Linked DNA regions of Caenorhabditis elegans. The protein of the gene in region 4 interacts with the protein of the main gene of each other region in a pairwise test. Each region holds a gene or a part of one and is shown on either strand. Other genes may lie near its edges.

Evidence for each region.
Region 1: the proteins of marb-1 (region 4) and lsm-5 interact in a two-hybrid assay, tested with the Caenorhabditis elegans proteins (one large-scale study listed by BioGRID).
Region 2: the proteins of marb-1 (region 4) and smz-2 interact in a two-hybrid assay, tested with the Caenorhabditis elegans proteins (one large-scale study listed by BioGRID).
Region 3: the proteins of marb-1 (region 4) and apc-11 interact in a two-hybrid assay, tested with the Caenorhabditis elegans proteins (2 studies listed by BioGRID).

Annotation. Positions count from the first base shown.
Region 1 is NC_003283.11:15,568,732-15,571,171, reverse strand, and holds lsm-5 (U6 snRNA-associated Sm-like protein LSm5), read right to left. Parts: upstream 793-2,440; coding exon 517-792; downstream 1-516. Other genes in the region: acs-2 (Medium-chain acyl-CoA ligase ACSF2, mitochondrial), read right to left, coding at 1,487-1,651, 1,699-1,815, 2,048-2,423.
Region 2 is NC_003279.8:6,872,107-6,875,784, forward strand, and holds smz-2 (PDZ domain-containing protein), read right to left. Parts: upstream 1,652-3,678; 5' UTR 1,579-1,651; coding exon 1,450-1,578; intron 1,402-1,449; coding exon 1,138-1,401; intron 1,094-1,137; coding exon 662-1,093; 3' UTR 501-661; downstream 1-500. Other genes in the region: T21G5.12 (Lipoprotein), read left to right, coding at 1-12; T21G5.1 (Tyrosine-protein kinase), read left to right, coding at 2,272-2,490, 2,539-2,795, 2,856-3,057.
Region 3 is NC_003281.10:4,593,338-4,596,264, forward strand, and holds apc-11 (Anaphase-promoting complex subunit 11), read right to left. Parts: upstream 1,088-2,927; 5' UTR 1,086-1,087; coding exon 987-1,085; intron 943-986; coding exon 871-942; intron 822-870; coding exon 585-821; 3' UTR 526-584; downstream 1-525. Other genes in the region: erh-2 (Enhancer of rudimentary homolog 2), read left to right, coding at 40-164, 212-328; asb-1 (ATP synthase F(0) complex subunit B1, mitochondrial), read right to left, coding at 1,326-1,527, 1,649-1,847, 1,891-2,253, 2,296-2,361, 2,409-2,484.
Region 4 is NC_003282.8:12,207,668-12,210,750, reverse strand, and holds marb-1 (Isochorismatase domain-containing protein 1), read left to right. Parts: upstream 1-1,740; 5' UTR 1,741-1,743; coding exon 1,744-1,823; intron 1,824-1,880; coding exon 1,881-2,058; intron 2,059-2,109; coding exon 2,110-2,451; 3' UTR 2,452-2,563; downstream 2,564-3,083. Other genes in the region: F35G2.3 (uncharacterized protein), read right to left, coding at 14-163, 210-494, 957-1,043.

The DNA.
Region 1 (2,440 bases), on a different chromosome or scaffold from region 4:
TACAGTACTATCGGGAAACTTTTTTGATTTTTTGGAAAAAATTGGCAGAAAACTTAAAATAAATACAGTTCAACTTAAGAATTTTGTCATTTAACAGGACAAATTAAGGTTGCTATCAAACACGATAAGTATTTTCACTTTTTCACGTATTTTGGGCGATTCTGCGATTATTTTTGTATTTTCAGCTCGAGCAGAATTCGAAAAATTATTTCCAGGGACGATCTGAACAATTAAGCCTTTTTAGAGCATCAGAAAGCTGCTATCTATTCTCAACACGTGCTGAATATGATCCTACAAGACCTGCAAGATGTACAAGTACTTGTTAAGTGATAAGAAAAAAAAGAGAAAAATGCTGAAAAAACAGATTTAAAAAAAATTGTTTTCTTTTTGCTTCTTCATTCTGTTTTGTTCCTGTTATAAAATTTTCCAAAATTTCCTTCAATTTTTATTTCAAAATCGGAGAGATTCGTGGCAAAATAGAAAGTATTAGAAAATCACAATATTCACAGATATCAATTAAATCTCTGGTCCTTCTCCTCCCGGCACGAGCATCGTGATGTGATTTCCGTTGAGAAGAATCGTGTCCAACTTGGTCATTCGCTTGCCGTCGGCGGTGTTCTCGTATTCGACGACGTCCTCCAGAACCATGTTCACGTAGTCATCGAAGCCTGTCAGAGTGCCGACGATCTCCTTGTCGTTCTTCATTATCACCCAGATTTTCGAGCCGATGCACTTGTCAATGAGCTCCAGTGGGAGAAGTGTGTTTGGGTTGGTGGATGTTGAGGTTGCCATGGTTTCTGGAAAGAAAATCGGGTAAAATTTGAGAGGAATTGCTGAAAAACAGGAAAAATGAGGGGAAAAGATGATATTTATCAAGTTTTTTTAAAATTTTTCCTCACAAAAATTTTTTCAAAGCCTATTTTTCCAGAATTTTTGATGTTTTCTCGCTGAATTCACCGGTAATTTGCACATAAATTTCATTTTCAGTAAAATTCGTGTTAATTTCCAATCGATTTTAGAAAATTTTGATGAAAAGTCGTTTCTACAAGAATTTTGCTGGAATAATCGAAAATCATATGAAAAATACAGTTAAAACAATACCATTAATGCAATTTTAAAATATTTTAACAATAAAAACTCACAAAATTCCAAGAAAATCGAGGGAAAACGAAGAAAATCCAACAAAAAAATGTTTTCGATTTTAAAAAAATGTGTGTCGATTTACGGTAAGCAAGGCGACTATGCGTCATTTCGGAGTGTCGTTGTACACTTTTGGAGGGAATTTTGAATTTTAAAGCTATTTATTCAGAGAAAATCGCAATTTCTGTACAAGTCTCACAATTAAATACATGGCAAATACACGGAAGAGTACATAAAAACCCGGTTAAATATGTCACTATTACAATTATAGCGGTTAGACCGTAAAAAGCAAGGAAATCCCAGCGAAAAGGCAACTTAAAATATAGGAAATATGTTCAACCCGATTTTAATTGTCGACAGCTTCTGTGAAGTGAGACTTGACAGTTCCGAGACCCAACAGCTCTTTGGAAATCTTTTGGATTTCGAATTTCTTGACTTTTCCGGAAATTGTGAGAGGGAATTCGGACTCCTTTTTGATGAGCACGTACTTTGGAACCTTGTAGTGAGCCATCTGGAAATTTCGACTGTATATTTTAAAATAATGGATTAATAACTTACTCCTCTCTTACAAGCCTTCTTAATGTGCTCCGCGGTGATCTTTCCTTCATCCTCAACGCGAAGACGCACCCAGGCGCAGATGTTCTCTCCGTACCTGTCATCTGGCACACCGACGACCTGGAATTTTTTTGTTGAAAAGTTAGGCCATAAGTTTGAAGTTCAGGCCATAAGTAGTCATGGTGCCCTTGATTTAAACGAGAATAACTCGCCAGTTGTTACAAGTATCAAAAAGTTGCCAACTGAGTAAATGTAGAGAATTTTCTGTAGATTATTTTAATAAACTTTTTGATATTTTAATAAACTTTTTGATTGGACCCCCAAGAGCAAAGATAGAAGCTCCCAAACTTACATGAGCATCAGCGACATAGTCCAACTTATGCAAGAACTGCTCGATTTCGGTCGGATAGACGTTCTCACCACCCTTCACAATCATGTCACGAGTTCTACCGACAATATTGATAGTTCCATCCTCGTTCATCGTGGCGGTATCTCCAGATTTGTACCAGCGATCACGTGTAATTGCCAAGTTGGTCTTGTCGTGGTCGGCCCAGTAGCCGAGCATAGTCGAGTAGCCACGAGACCAGAGCTCTCCTTTAGCTCCAGTTGGCACGGGGACTCCAAATTCATCGACAATGGCGAGTTCTTGATGTGGCATCACTGACCCGACGGACTTGATTCGCTCGAATGGATCCACGTGGAGTTCCGACATGGTGACTAGAGGGGATCTGAATTCAGCTGTAAG
Region 2 (3,678 bases), on a different chromosome or scaffold from region 4:
AATAAAAATTAGATTTCTCAAAAATAAATTGTTTTCTTTCATTGATTCAATGTTGAATTCATTTTACCGTCATATTTAAACTTCCAATTACATATCATCGTTTTCTTAGTCACTGTTATATCCGTGTTTTGCAGGTTCTTCCATCTTCAGAAATTTATAAATTACCTCCATCCCCGAGGCCCGGGCCCTCTATTTTTTTTAGATAAAGTTTAAAAGTTTTAGTTGTTAGAACACAATTGGTAGATTTTTTGAAATCTGAAAGAACTCAAAATTTGCAACAAAACGGCTACCGTGATTTTTGAAAAAGTAAAAAAAAGTATCTCTCCTTAGAACATACACCAAATATGTTCTACAAAGGAGCAATACCCCTATCATTGCCTTCGTTTCGAAAATCAATTCTAAATTGTAACAATTCTAAAATTGTGGTAGCTGGTAAATTTACCCAGTTTCAATTAAAAGGAAGCCAGTAATAGTCCAAGGAAACAACATACAAAGTATAAAAAGTTTATAAGAAGTTTTGTCTCTAAAAAGTTAAGATGACTCCAATGGGCACATAACACTTCAGGAGAACTTTGATTCATAAACCTTACAAAACAAATATCAAAACATTTTTATTCAATCTAGACAGTGCTATTCATGACATCTTGCTGAATTCTTATCATCACTTGACCTTGCGAAGAGCTTTTCCTTCATGATCATGTCCGATCTCGTGAGTTTGAGTTTGCTCGATGATAGAAACACGGCGAGCATTTGGACCGGTAGACATTGCACTCTTCGCTGGAGGCTTCAGTCCTGGAAGAGCTTGACGATATTGCGAAGCAATGCCTTTCACATCTTCGTTCATTTGGACTGATGGTGGTTGCATGAGATTGGTAGCCAACGCCTGTTTCGCCCATTGCTTGGCATCGATCGAATCAGGGCGCTCGACGACAAAAGTGACTTTTCCTTTCTCTTGGATATTCTTGACGAGAAGATCTCTGGCAACATCCTTGTCACTGACTGGAATTCCATCAACATCACACAAATGATCTCCAAGAACAAGACACTTCTCGGCTAGTGATCCAGGATCAACACGTGAAACAAGCACACGGTTCTAAAATAGACATATGAACTTCCTCCAATCTTTTAATTTCTTACCTGGAAATGCTTGATTCCCAAACCAAGTTTTGGTCCATTTTGAACCCAGACAAGGGTTGCCAACTCATAAACGTATCCCTCACGGCGTTGAATGATCTTTGCACGATCCTCAGGAATATGAACACGAGCTTCTAACTCTTCAGCCTTTTTTTCGTCACGGTTCACCGTGATTTTTGCACATGGAGCAGCAAAGCGAAGCGCACGGAAAAAGTCGTTACAATCCTTGCAATTTTGTCCGTTCACTTTTTTAACTTGGTCACCAATCTGTAAATCATTCTGTATAAAAAAGATTTGAACATTTCAAAAACTCACTCTCAATTTTCCTTCAGAAATGGTTCCAGCCTGAATCTTAGTGATAACGAGCTTGTCATTTGGAGTTGCACCAAGTGGTTCTCCTTCCTCCATGTCGATACAAATCTCGATCATCTTCTCGGAACCCATTCTTCTGTTCCTTTTCTTCTTTGCTGCTTTGCCGATTCAAAAGGCGATTGATTCGATTTCTTGCGAAATTTGATTGAGAGTGGCGAGAATTGGACGTTTTATACTGAAATACTTGGACATAAAAAATAAGGTCTTGGGGACATGTTACGTATAAATATAGAGTTTAAGTTCGAGAAAATATTTTAAATTGGAAAATTTTTACGAGTTTATTTGCGAAACTTGTCAAACAAAATTTGACCTTCCAAAAAGCGAAATTGGATTGCGTCTTTTGCTTAAAATTTCAGTTACCTAACTTATAAACATGGCCTAATAGAGTAAATACTCAAAATCTCTTTAGATTTTTGAAATTTTTCAGTCTTGGTATATTGATTGTTTTTGGGGAATAAAATATTTAAATAAAATAACTAAATCATAACAAAGATATAAAACTTGTAGGAAACAGCATTTTGGTTTGAAATTGTAATTATGATAGGTTTTCCATTTATTAAACTTAAAATAAACGTTTTACTCGGAAATAGAAAAGAAACAAATTTAAATATTAACGTAACCCCAATTTAAAAGAAAAGAAACAAATAAATTTGTTCAAAAATACCTGATAATTGAGTCAAAAATCAATTTATTTTCAACTTTTCAAAAGGTTTACAATATTGATTCAACTGCCAAACAAAAGAAAACAGAATCAAAAATCGAAAAATGGAGATGTCAACGAAGGCAATTTCAATGAAAGCACCAAACACAGAACAATCAAAAGATGTTGTTGTAAGAGAAGTATTACCTGGAAATGGAATAACAACTGGAGGATCAAGAGAAGGATCAAAAGAATCTGCAAATCCACCTGGAACACCTCCACCGCCAGAAGAGAAGCCGAAAGAGCCTATGGTTGATGTTCCAGTCGTTCAAATTACTCCAGAGGTTTTTTTGGATTTTTTTTCTAGACATCAACATTTATTTCTTGTTTAGATTAAAGGCTGTCAATTCTACCATGGAATAATTCCACGTGTCGATGCTGAGTTGTCACTTCGTTACGTAGGTGATTATCTCCTGAGAAGAGCGGAACCACGTGAAAATGCGGGTGGACAATTTCTGATAATTTCTGTAAAAAGAGAAGCTGGATTTGTTCATGTTCCAATAAGTCAAGACAAAGAAGGTGCAAAACAGTTTTATTTTATGCCAACACTCAAGGAAAACACTGTTTTAGATTTGATTGATGTCCATCTGTACGTTTATTCTTTTTTTTTTTAATTTAATGATTAATTAAATTATGTAAGATATTTCAGTGCTCGTGCGCAACCAGTATGCGTTCAGTGGAATGTGTATCTTCGTAAACCAGTCCTCCGAGCAACATGGATTATTCCACACGAGGACGTGATCTTGTATCGAAAAATCGGATCTGGAGCCTTCGGAGAGGTTTTTCTTGCAAGAATGGTTGATCCAACAAGTGAATATGTGCTGGATTGTGCTGTCAAGAAATTGAAACAGGTTTAGTCTAGAGTGATACTCTAAAAAATAATGTTTCAACAATTGTTTGCTTCTTTTGATATATCATTTTACAATATTATACAGATGTGAAATTTCAAGAGTACTGCAAATTCAAACTCTCATTGCTGCGATATTTTCAATGATTTTTTAAATAGTTTTTATCATTATTTGCAACTATGAAAACTCCGCAGCTACGAGAAGTTGGAAGTTCAAATATTTTTTAAACACTGTCGTGTCGAGACCGGGAACTGTAGTTCTACCCTCAAAGTACCCAAAAACCTCAAAGTTTCGCGTCTGGGTAATGATCCACATAAATTGTACAAGTTCTCAGGCTGATTCACAGACATTGACGAATTTTAACATTCTGAATTTTTTGGTTATTGTGTTCTGGGGTTGTTCGAGATATTTTGATGTTCATTTCAGTATATCTAGTATTACAATGAAAAGTCATTTTCATACAACTAAAAAAAGCTTTGCAAGTATGAACCGAGCTGACATTTTTTTTTATTTTGAAGTTTCAGCTACTGTGCTGTTTTGAAAGTGATACCCAATTGATCTGTAATTACATGGCTACAGAACTAATTGTAACGCTTTCTAATTTACCAAATAACCAAGATATCA
Region 3 (2,927 bases), on a different chromosome or scaffold from region 4:
CATTCCGTGAGAATTATTATGTTTAATGGAATTTTTCAGCTCTTTGCAAGATGTTTGAAGATTTCCTTTCCAAGAAATCAGCTGCTCCAGTCACATACGACGTGTCGCAAGTCTACGAGTTTCTCGATAAGCTCTCCGATGTTTCTATGATGATCTTCAATCGCGTATGTATTATTGATCTGCATATCCTCCCAAATCAATTCATTTTCAGGAAACCGGGCAATACATTGGTCGTACACGTGCATGGATCAAACAACAAGTCTACGAGATGATGCGTGGTCGTTGTCAGCATCCGGAAGGTGGAGAGAAAGTCATTGTTGGGTATTGATTACATTGGAAATATTATTCTCATCTCGCTCTGATCTTCATGTGCTCGCCGGTCTTTTATTTCTTCTTCCTTTTCAATGATTCTTGCTCAATTTACAATTCGATTTCAATTGCGATATTTTTATACTTTCTGATGAATTTCTCACTATGAATATTTCAATTTAAAAAGTCTTCGTTCTTGTTAATTTAAAATACAAATGAGGAAAACTGAGTATCATTTGACATGAAAAAATGGAAACACAAGATAAAAACGTAGATTACTCTACAATTGTCCAGTCTTGTCTGCAAAGCGGGCATTGAGCTCTTGGTTGGTTAGTTGGTGCTGCAATCCACTTATCGATGCAATGACGATGAAAAGCATGGCGACAAATTCCCAGAACCAATGGGCAATCATCTCCTGGAAACTTGCACATGTTGCACGCCGATTCAAATTCCATTCGACAAATTCCACAGGTATCTTCACCTCCTTGTAACCACTTCCACTCTCCACAAACCTGAAAAATGTCAAGTTTTTGAAACTTCAATTTTTTTTGACAAACTAACATGTAACTTTTTGACGGTAATGCTCATCCGAGTGTTGGTTTTTAATAGAATCCCTGGATGATCATCCTGCATCTGAAAACCGAAATATGATACGAATTATTTCTTATATGTCTTACAGTATGAAGTTCAGAACTGCTCATCGACATATTTTGTTGATCATCGTTTCCCTGTGATTCATCATTTTCCTGTTCGTCCATTTGAATTTGTTGCTCCATTTCTATCAAATGTGATATTTTATATTGACAATTAGATTCTGGCTCGTACGACGAAATCATTATATAGGTAGGATTGATAAATAAGGTTGAAACCTGTTCGATAATCACAATAACACGATTGAAAATTCAAAATTTTATGAGAAAGAAAACAACGCCACTATTATCATCACTGGTTTTATGTTGTGTGCGAGAATAATTTAACAAACGACAAAAACACTGAAAAAGGTGAAAGAGAGATCTTCAGACAGCAATACCCTTGAGTTGTTGAATGGCGTTTTGAAGGAATTTTTCCTGGAAGTCTTTCTGGGAGACTTGCTTCTCGACACTGTCATTGATCAACTTCAGCAATTGGTCGCGCTCAAATCTGGCCTTTGTCTCCTCGGTCTCTTTCAAATACTCGATGCGACGCTTGATCTCATTGGAAATGGTTTGAACATTCTTTCTGAAAAATAATTTTAAAATACAGAATAAAAAGGAGATTAGGAGATTATATTCAAGTAACAAAATTCGCGGTTTTTTTTTCAAAAAAACTGCGATAGAGCGCGTTTTATTGTTTAGCTCACCTATAAGCGGCCTCCAGCTGTAGCTGCATGGAATCCTTGAGAGAAGTTGGCATGCCTTCCTTGAGAGCAGCAAATGAAGCGGTTTGAGCGGCAGAGGTTTTGCGGAAATCAACAGCTTCCTTCAAATCTTCTTGAATAAGTCCTTTGAAGAAACCAACGCGTTCCTGATAGTCCTTGTAAAGACCAGCATCGATTTTATCTAAAAGAAAAAAAAAGTTATTTTTAAATGTTCAGTCACTAACAGCCGGCGGTTCTGGAAACCAAAAGATAGAAAAGAATCCATCCAACAGTCATATGTCCTTGCTCCTCAAACACCCACAACTCCTTGTTAACGAGGAAAGCAAAGAGTCCTCCGAAGAAAAGATATGGACCAGAGGTACCAGTAACCTTTTGGAATGCGGTAAACCACGAATCGGGCATCATCAAGAGACGAGTCTTTGGTGGGTACATTGGACGAGACGGGTATGGATAATTGGTCAAATCCCGATCTGGGTGCTCTTTGAAATCTTTTGGAACGGATGGAAGGAGTTCAGGAGCGGACCATTCTTTATTGCAGGCATCGAACATGGACTTTGGAGCTTCAGTCTCCGTCGGCAGTGGGATTCCTGTAAAAGAACTATAACAAAAAAAAACAATATAATGCTTACCTTTGAATCTATAAGCAATCTTCTCAAAATACCCGATGCTGTTATCTGATGATGGGGCGACAGCATCTGAAACAAAAAATTATATATGAGAAAATGCATTTAAATAAACTCACGTCCTGTTGCAGCTCCACGCGCAACGATAAAAACGCGAGAGAATGTCTGAGGAGATGACAAGCGACTCAACGACATCTGGAATTCAAAGAATTTTTGGGCGTTACTGAATATCTGTATACAGAGAATTCAAATAGAAAACTTTCAAGTTGTGCAAATTAACTATTTTTCTTATTGATTTGAAAGAAAAGAAGAAAAAAGAAAGATTGAAAATGGAAATATAAAACTAAACACAAAACGAGGCCGCGCAAGGTAACTCTGAGGGGTACTGTATTCGTTGCGAGACCCAGCGATCACCAGCGCCTATGCTCCTTTAAAATAATGTATTCGCGTTATGAAAATTCTACACTTAAAATCAACATAAAAAACTCGTAAAAACCCAATAAATAATAAAAGTATATTATTTTATTTGTAACACGAAAAAGTGATGATTTTTGGAGCAGAGTTTTGAGAAACAGATCAAAGGACCACTTTGAGAAAAAAAAGAAGAATAGACATGTCAATAATATAAATAAATTTCT
Region 4 (3,083 bases):
TTATATGGACAAATTAAATATTATTAACTTTAAAAAGACTTTTAATTTTATTATTTTCCTTATTTTCTTCTTCACTTCCTTGCAACGCACTCTTTAAGTCATTCTGGAAATTTGTTTTGTTGAACTCGATCTCGAATTTAAGCAGTTCAATCATTTCGTTTTTCTGAAATTATAGTTTTAAAATTTAATTCCATGTAAGAAATCCGAACCTCTTTAATAATCTTTCTGGCTTGTACCAAATCATCAACCAACTCATTTGCATCTTCCTCCGCAAATTCCAATGATTCCAGTTTTTGGCTCAATTCCTTTATCACCTCGTTTCGCTCTTTCAGTTTTCTCTGAAGTCCACCAATTTTTGCCACAAAATCTCTTTGATGCATTCGAATTTTGATTAAATGATTGCTGATTTTACTTCTCTCTATTTTCATCTCCTTCTGGTGCTCTTTAATCATTTCCTCACTAGACTCGCACATTAATTTTAGTTGGTAATGAGCCTGCAAACGTTGTATATAAAAAAGAATGTCAAGATGCCTGCCTACATGCCTGCCTACCACCTAGCTCTATACATTTTGGCATGCATTCAGGAATTTAGTGAACCTCTAGAAAGTAAAACTGGGAAAATTTCCAAAGAAAATTTAGTTAATTTTCACCAAATTTTCGAAAGTTTTTTTTTTTAAAGTCAAACATTTTCCAATAAAATATTTCGCATTTTTTTCAAAAAAAACACATTTTCCCAAAAAAAATTCGATCCGTTCTACTGTCTATTTTAAAATTTAATAAATCTTCTCAGCTTTAAACACCTCTTAATTTTTTATGAGGGGCTCCAATAAATAGCTTGAGGGGAACACGATTATTGGAATTTACTTTTGAAATTGAGAAATTTTCAGACTCTCGAGAATTTCATTGATAATGCTAATAAAATATTCAAAAATATAAAAAAAAACAACAAAATTTACCTTTGCCTTTTCCTCAACTATTTGCAACATTAACAGAGCTACAGTAACCGCGTACAGTAACCCGAATAGAATCGGGAAATTATCCATTGAAAGTGTCATATTCCCGTCTTGAAAGATATTAGTTAACCACGACATTATAAAATAAAAAGATTGTCTTATAAGATAAGTAACAAACGAATGAATGAGCCGGTCGTCTTAGTCAACGGGTCAAGTGTTTCAGCCGCGTTCGTGAATCAATAAGAGCTGGAATTGCCTCCTGGCATTAGTGACTGTAGTCCACACTTTCTACTGCCTAAATTATCCATACAGGGCAATGTGATCAATTGATCAATAGGTTATTAAATATAACTATTTTATGCAGTGCAGTGTTTCATCCTTTTGGGAAAATTCACGGAATCAACAGGTGAATTTATGTTTTTTAGGGTGTGAACACAAATTGTTAATGTTATAATTGTCCTGGAGAGCCTTTAAACATTTTACAATTAATATATTATAAATAATACGTAGAAAATCAGTATTTGAACAGGAAAGTAGACATTTTAAAAATTTGAAATTTGAAAAACCGCCACAAACTCAAGCAACGACACTCCGAGATTACGAATCGCGCGTTGTTTACCGTAAATTTACACTAATTTTTGTTCTCTGAAATTTTTTTTTAATTGAAAAGCCGTCCATTTATTTATCTTTTTTTGTCAAATCCTTGTGTTTTACGTGGATGTTTGCATTTGTTTTTTATTTATTTAATTTCGAATCACTCAACTTTTTATTGATTTCTGTTCCTCAGGTGATGGCTGCGCGTAAGCTGATCGCACGTATCAACCCAACGAACAGTGCTCTTTTCGTCTGTGATCTTCAAGAGAAGTTCGCGTAAGTTTTGAAAGAAACTAGTTTATGAGCAAAAATAATTTATTTAATTATTTTCAGGTCAAATATCAAATACTTCCCAGAAATCATTACAACTTCGCGTAGATTGATCGATGCTGCCAGAATCCTGAGTATTCCAACCATTGTTACTGAACAATATCCAAAGGGTCTCGGACACACAGTTCCAACTCTCAAAGAAGGTCTCGCCGAGAATACTCCGATCTTTGATAAGACGAAAGTAGATTTTCAGATTTTTGTTCATAATTCAGTCTTATTCCAAAAATTTCAGTTTTCCATGTGCATTCCTCCAACTGAAGACACTTTGAAGAAAGTTCAAAATGTGATCCTTGTCGGAATCGAAGCACACGTATGCGTTCTTCAAACTACATACGATCTTTTGGAACGTGGCTTGAACGTTCATGTCGTGGTGGACGCTGTCAGCAGCCGCAGTCACACTGATCGTCATTTCGCTTTCAAACAGATGGAACAAGCTGGAGCTATCTTGACAACTTCTGAAGCTACCATTCTCGGACTTGTCGGTGGATCGGATCATCCAAAGTTCAAGGAAGTTCAGAAGTTGATCCTTACTTCAGCCCCTGATACTGGCCTCGTCCCGTTGTCGAAGCTCTAAATGTTTTCCGTTTACGGCTTCTTTTTTTGCCATGTAGATTTGTGTTTAGTACCTCACTATGTGTAATTACAGCATTTAACCGGTTTTCGTCCCATAAATTATGGTGGTAATTTGAGTCTTTTTGCAAAACGTTTCTTTCATCGCATCTCCTTGCCACCGTTTGACCATCACATCATGTTTCAAAAGTGTGGGTAAACATTCCGAAATTCGCGGAAACGAAATGCGCTTTGAAAATTTCAAGTGGCTCACACAGTAGAGCCCGCTAGTCCATTGACCTCCAATGTTTGTAGTTTGCGAAAATGATGGTGACGATGGTGCAAAGAAAACTTTCAGTTTTTTTTTTCAGAAAAGTCAGGTTTGTACAACACACATGCCACCACGTGGCAATGAAAAAGGCAGAGGCAACAAATAAATTGGAAGCAGAGACAATAAAATGGGTGGGTGATCTGATCTGTTGTGACGAACAAAATGATGATGATTGGATTCGCGAGCTGTTGATGAAATATGCAGAAATGAATCGAGAAAAAGAGAAGAAAAATACCCAAATATTCAAACAGACAGACGAAAAAAATGTTTTCCTGATTCGAGGAACGTGTTTTCTAAGTGGAACGACGGCAAAATATGGGTTGGTC